Xenopus tropicalis: one gene and its partner. The protein of the gene in region 2 interacts with the protein of the main gene of each other region in a pairwise test. Links are inferred from orthologs where the notes say so. Each region holds a gene or a part of one and is shown on either strand. Other genes may lie near its edges.

Region 1 (3,658 bases), on a different chromosome or scaffold from region 2:
TTATTGTCAGGGGTGCGAGTGCTTACCACTATGGACATTTTTTGTTGCCCTTTGGGTCAGCCATAGACACAGAGTGCAGCACTTAGTGGTGCAAAATACCCTGTTTAGGTGTTAAAGGGCACATATCTTAGCTGATTTGCTTCCCCCTACTGGAAATGTGGTATAATAGATCATACCCTCTGGCTGAGGGAAAACAATAATATTTTGACCATAAAATGCCACCAGTAGTGTTTAGCTGCACATAATGAGTACCCTAGCCTACTCATTTATGCGCATTCATGTTCTGTAAGAACAAGGAAGGAATATACAAATCCTGTGTCATGCATATATTAAATTATGCGCCTGCATCTTGTACCAACATGGCTGCCCCCACACCAGAAGCTCCCTTTTGGTGTGGTTGGCATAGCACTCACTAGGGACATTTTCTGCCCAAAATAATATTATCCTCACCTACACGAGTGTGGGCTCGATGCAATTTGTTGCATGCCTTGTGCAGCCTTAATAATCCCAGCCAACACCCACATCTATCTCTTAGCATGCCAGGCACAGGCAGCACCACATAATGAGGAACACTCTTTGTATTTCATTAAATAAGGCCCAGTGGTACTGGCTGCAAGAACCACCTTCTACCCTTGTCTAAATATGACATTTAGCATATTGTCATTGTCAGGGGAGGCCTTGTAAGAAGCTTCTTTTTCCAAGGTCCCGAAAAGTTTCTGGTGAATATAACTCAGCCTTAATATTGCCCCAGCTGTAGGCTTAGTTTATGAATATAATGGCATGGGGCTGCTTTGTTGCTTTCTGTGGCCCAGGCCCGGACTGGCATTCAGTGCATTCTGGCAAATACCAGAGGGGCTGCTGTAAGATGCCATAGACTATATCACTATATAGTGGACTGGTGAGAGCTTTTTGGGCCTCTGTGTACTGGAAATGCCACGGCCTATTTTGAATCCCAGCCCAGTGCTGCTGTGGCCAGCATCTTATATTTCTTTGTTTATAGTTTGAACCCAGCCCTTTTTATTCTGGGATGCGTCTCATTCCCCTTCTAAACCTGGGGCATATATACTAATAAACCAAGCCTAAGTGAGGCTTTACTTGCCCTTTAAAAGGATACCAACACCTTACACATAAACATGCCCACACCATTCCCCCAGGATACAGAGTGCAGAGAATTGCTCTTTTGTTTTGTTTAAAGCAGAGGATTTATAATTTACTTTGGGAAGATCCTGCCAATAATTTCTTTTCTTTTTGTGTTCTCCATGCCTACCCTTCCTTCCCTCGCTTTTCCTTCTCTTCCTCATTTCCCCATTACTATTCCCAACCCCTCCACCTCTCCTGACCTCCGCTAGCGGTAGTCCTACATCGGGGGCAGCTGCTGGGGCTGAGGGGTAAGTCGAGGACCTATGAAGTTCCACAGATCTCACCTCATCCCATCCTTCCACATGACCTTCTCTCTCTCCATCTGAATCTTTTCATCATCCTTCAGCATTCATGAGATCACAGAGGCTTCTGAAAGCCTCTGACTGTTTGGTGGTGGGCTCTGTGTTGTTTGGTGTACTGTATGTATGGAATAGGGATGCACCGAACTCATCATTTTTCTATTTTGCCCAAATACCTAATTCCCCACGTTGATTTGGGCAAAAACCGAAATTAATCTAAATTCTAATTCATTTTTACCTTTACCCAAGATCAACTCCCCGCCCCCAGATTTGGTTTGACCAGGCACTCAGGATTCAGTGCATCCCTAAAATAAATGGCAGTTGACATAACCTCATACAAAATGTCTCATTTCCTGTGCGAGATTTACAATGGCATTGAACAAGGAGTTTTCCATAATGCGATCATAGCAGAGGGCTACAGGGAGTTTTCTGATCCACTGAATGATAAGGAGGGGACCAAACCATTGTCTTCCAAAATGGAACCCCACAGTGTTATCCAATAGCACCGTCAGATTGTTAAGAAAGACGGTGCTGTGAGTATGTGTCCCATAGTGTTTACAATATACATTTAGGGTGTCAGGCAAAGGGGATGAGTGGCTAAAGAAAAATGTTCAGAGGTAAAGATCCTATATGAATTTCCTTTACTTTGGAAGTTGTCTGTATGTGACCTACAGTCGGGGGCCAATATCAACAGGGTACAGGAGCTACTCCAGATGGGCTACGTGGCAGAGGTGGCCCCAAGAGAATTAATGGTGTGATTTGCTGGTTGTGGAGTAGGCAGGGTTTGGAGGGAGTTGGTAGGATTTGGGTGGATTTTTGGGGCCCTATTCTAGTTGTTGGCAGGGCTAACTTCCCAGGGAGCCATGTTGACCATTGGGATAATAAATGGGGTTCATAGAAGTAGGGCCCTGCTAACTTTTTTATGGGGCCTGTAGTATATATATATACATATATATATTAAAAATAATATATATATATATATATATATATTTATATTAGAACAACTAAGTTATGTGAAAACATGGGTAATTTGTGCTTAAGGGTCCCTTTATTGGTATGTAGGAAGGTTGTGTAAATGAGATGTCATACAGGCAGTGGTAGATTACCATAAGCGCAATGTGGGTGGTTGCCCAGGGCCCCCCAAAGTGACTCCCAACCTTGGCAAAAAGAAGTAAGGCTTATGTGGGCTGGGGGGGGGGGGCGCTCTTCTGCTAAGGCCGTGTTGCTGGACCTGTACATGATTCAACAGATCTTGGGGTCAGCATTTTATAAATCTAAATGACTTTGTAGTTCCAGTGTCTCAGAGTCAAGGGCACCCATGATACAGAAAATGCCAATGATAACATTTTGCATAAGACTTCCCACTCTCTTGTCTGTGACATTCACTGCCTTCATTGGGTTTATTTTTCTTATCAAATACTTTATATATCTACAGCCAACAAGACTTCACCCACCTCTGGAGAGGGAACGCGGCCTGGGGGAGTCATCCACGTGTACAGCGATGAGAACAGCGACAAGACCGCAGGCAGTTTTATCCCATACTGCTCCATGGCACAGGCCCAGCTCTGTTTCCATGGGCACCGGGATGCGGTTAAGTTTTTTGTATCTGTACCAGGTGAGAGCAACTAGAATCAGAGAAACCTACAGTATATACTGTATTTTATGACAGCAAGGTTCCATCGTAGAATAAATATACCTATCTACATATACACATTCCATATAGATTCTGATATTTTCTATGGATAGAGGGAAAATATTGTCCCTTTTAAGGGGTTGTTCAACTTTTAGTAAAACACAGGCAGTGACAATTTGCAACTGGACTTCATTTTTTATTAGTTGTGGTTTGTTCCAGTTTGAAATTTTAGCAGCTATCAGGTTTCTAGGGTGCAATATAACCTAGCAACAAGCCAGTGGTTTGAAAGAAAGACATGAATATGAATAGTGAAGGGCCTAAATATAAAGATAAGTAATAAAGTGTAACAATAAAATTGTAGCCCCGCTGAGGAATTATTTTTTTGCTGCTGGGGTCAGCTGGAAAGAGTCAGAAGACAAAGGGAAATCATTCAAAAGCTATAAAAAAATGAAGACCAAATGAAAAGTTGCTAAGAATAGGTAATTTCATCAAGTTAACCTGAAGGTGAACACCCCTTTAATATTGTCTTAATCTAAAAGTGTTTCTGGAATGGTCTTTGTGCAGTTTGTGTTAATATTTCTTTATA
Region 2 (3,658 bases):
TGATGAGTTGGCTAACACCCAGCAGAAGTTGCAGAGGAGTGAGCAGTCTGTGGCCCAACTGGAGGAGGAAAAGAAACATTTAGAATTTATGAATCAGCTGAAAAAATATGATGATGATATTTCCCCATCGGTATGCACTTTAACTGAAGTTAAATTTTCCATTCTTGCATATGCTGATATTAATGCGTGAAGCACAGTATATGTGCTTACATTTAAATTAAAGTGATAGAATTGATTTTATAAATTTGGGTCGATGATTATTTTAAAACTAAAATGTTTTTTTAACTCTGTAAAATAAAAATTGGCAGCAAAAAGATGTGCATGGTGTTGCGGTATTGCAGATGAAATCCGCCTGTTGTGCCTCTTTAGTGCCCATGCAGAGAGCACTTCTGGTCTGGCTGCACTCTGGATCTTGTGGCAGATTTAAAAAAAATCTGTGCGGGGTACAGAATGCAACACCAGCAGACCCCTTTTTCTGGATTGCTTGAGAATTCCCATAGATTCCTGTAATGTTAGTCTTTGTGATTTAATTATGCTTCTCTCTACCTGTCTGCTCAGATGAATTTATGGAAAAGCCCTTTGACTGAACCATATGTGTGGATATCCGCTTGGCATTCTGTGTGTTCTTCAGGCATAGTGGAAATGCTTGACATTAACCTGAATCACAAAAACATTCTAATGGTTAAAAAAAACAGATCGTTTTTATCCCCCCCATGTTTTGTACTAGTGCTCTTACCCAGTCCCAAGTTTTGCAAAAATAAAATTCAGATACCTATACTTACTTGTTCTTACTGCTCATTTTTTTCAGGATGATAAAGATAGCGATTCCTCCAAGGAAACTCTGGATGATCTGTTCCCAAATGATGATGATGATCCAGGCCAAGGCAGTAAGTGCATGAATACCTTTAATGTCCCTTCTAGCTTCTGTTTTTTTATTTTTTATACATACGGGTTATTGGCTCCATCCAGTAATTTATTCCAGACTCAAGGATATATGTTCCAACAAGATTTTCAGTTTTATTGAGATTCACCTAATGGTTGCTGATATGCAATTCACTTGTGATTTGTTTACATATTCTTTTTGCAATAGTGGGTGAAGTACTACCATCTAAAGCACTCTTGTGCCAGTAGTATTCATGGAAACAGACCTTTAACCCAAAATACAGTCATAAAAGTGGCCAAGGATATGTTTGCTTGCAATATGGCTGGATAAATTAATCTGTTCTCATTTTGTGCAGTACAACAGCAGCACAGCAGTGCAGCAGCAGCTGCCCAGCAAGGTGGCTATGAAATCCCTGCAAGATTAAGGACCCTCCATAACCTGGTGATTCAGTATGCTTCCCAGGGAAGGTATGAAGTTGCTGTACCTCTCTGCAAACAAGCTCTTGAAGACCTGGAGAAGACCTCTGGACATGATCACCCAGATGTTGCCACAATGCTCAATATACTTGCTTTGGTCTATAGGTCAGTAGTTTTGTCTGCATAGTAAGTAACCCTGCCCTGTCTTTTCATTGCAGATGTTTCATGATTTTATAGGTTATTGTTGTGCATCCTACAGTAAAGATATTTTTAAACTGTCTGTTACCCCAGTTACCTGTGCTTTCATATTGTATGTAGGCTGGAGGTGTTATATGTTTGCATATATTCCAGGCTGGGGGCCATATGTAATCCTGTGTAGTGCTCATTCAGCTCACAGGCCTCCATTCGCTGGTACTGGAATGTGTTTTACTTCCAGTACCCATTAATATAAGCATCTTATCTTGACCATGTAACACAAACAGCCTATTTAGTTCCAGTTTAATTCCAGTTCCCTCACCCCCCCTTTTTTTTTTTTTTTTTTTTTTAACAAGTGCATACCTGAGCTAATGCTTTATGTATGGTTCTAAACTCTATTACAGGGATCAGAATAAATACAAAGATGCTGCCAACCTATTAAATGATGCCTTGGCTATCCGTGAAAAGACTTTGGGCAAAGACCACCCAGCAGTAAGTGGAGATATATATATATATTTTTTTTGTTGTTGTTGTTTTGTCTCCTTGCTGTTTAGTTAAGTGTTAATGTTAATTAATGGTAATTTAAACTTAACAGGAGAGGTTACTTAACACTGGGATTCTCAGTAAAATTAGCAGGTAGGATTACATGTTGATGTTCACTCTGGTCACCGATCAACACTACAGAAAATTTGCCTTCATGTTAAAGCAGCTGTCCTACCAAGATACCATTCTACTACACTACAGAAAGAGAAAAGAAATATATATGTTTTATATATCTATTAGTCCTTACCAATTGTCCTACTTGCAGTTTCTCTCTAGGCATGCTTCTCTTACTGCTACCTGCGTTCTTTTTACCAGTTCATCATCATCTCACTCACACCTAGTTCATTTATCTTTAGCTTCTTTCTTTTTGGAGAAAGGAAAATGTAAAAGAAAGTTTTCTTTGTGTTGTTAGGAGACCTATTGGATAAATAGAAAAACCCCTAATTTTGTAGGCAATTATGAATAAAATGAATTCAATTTGTAAAAATGGCCCCTTTATTGGAGCTCCCTATAGATCCTACCAGTTCTCTGTCTGTGTTTCAAATGAAGGGTGGGTGTGTCTTAATGGTCCCTGCCAGAAGCACAGCAGGAGGGGGACAACCAATCACAGCCTTGCACTTACACAAGCAAAGATAGGCTTCAGTTCCCTATCAGATCAGCCTAGCTGCTGATTGGTTCCTATCCTACAATGCCATGTACTGAGAGTCGCGGGCTCCCCTGCACACCCAGAGAATTCAGCCTGCAGGAAGGGGAACAGATGGGCGGGACTAGTGGGGTTTTGGTGGAATTTCTCAATAAATCAGTCCAAAACACAACTTTTTTAAGCACAATCCTTCTATATTTAGAGGAGTATAATTCACTGGTACATTCTTAATTTTTATATGATGTGTCTCTTTTAAAGAAAAAAGTACCATTGCTCCTTCATAGAGTTGCAGCAACAATTCTCCAAATGTTTCTAACATGAAAGGATCCCCTGACAGCCTTTGCATTGAAGTTTTATTTTGTGAGACAAAAGAAAGCAAACCAATATTTTAAGATATCTTTAAATTAGAGACAGAATGCCACAAATTGTCCAATTACAAAATGATCTGGTTTTTGGTCCTAAATTGACCCTGCAATGAAACACCTCCTCCAGTGCAGTAACATACTTAACCTAGCTAATCTGGAAACAATATCTGTAACAGGTATCTGACATAACTCTGAAGCTGGTCAATACTGTTTGGTTTAAACAAAGAATTATAAAGAAAAAAATAACTTTTAACTTAAGCATACAGATTGAATTATTGTGGGCTGCTCCTTTAACATACCTGCTGAAATTCATATTTTTCTGTCCTACATTAGATTTGAATTCAGTTAACAAATGCATGCTTTGAAAGCAAATGGAAAACAATTTATGCTTTTGTGTTGAATATTGTAAATTGCTTGTAAAACATGACCATGGTGATTTTTGTATCAGTTTGAAATCTGTAGATGAGCTGATTTTATCCCTAAAGGTGAAGGAAAGGCATTTTGGGATTTTACTGTCAATAGATTTGCCACATTAATGCCACATAGAATAATATATATATTCTGCAGAAAGCATTACCATACTGGAGTAAAGAGCCCTAGAAGCTTTCTCTGT

The links.
Region 1: the proteins of klc1 (region 2) and mapk8ip3 interact in binary tests that used the Homo sapiens proteins (3 or more experiments, as listed by UniProt). The link is inferred for Xenopus tropicalis from reciprocal best matches to the Homo sapiens genes KLC1 and MAPK8IP3.

The regions. Positions count from the first base shown.
Region 1 is NC_030685.2:22,616,366-22,620,023, forward strand, and holds part of mapk8ip3 (C-Jun-amino-terminal kinase-interacting protein 3), read left to right. Parts: intron 1-1,349; coding exon 1,350-1,388; intron 1,389-2,874; coding exon 2,875-3,054; intron 3,055-3,658.
Region 2 is NC_030684.2:98,526,541-98,530,198, forward strand, and holds part of klc1 (kinesin light chain 1), read left to right. Parts: coding exon 1-130; intron 131-808; coding exon 809-887; intron 888-1,238; coding exon 1,239-1,464; intron 1,465-1,898; coding exon 1,899-1,986; intron 1,987-3,658. UniProt on the Homo sapiens protein: Kinesin is a microtubule-associated force-producing protein that may play a role in organelle transport. The light chain may function in coupling of cargo to the heavy chain or in the modulation of its ATPase activity.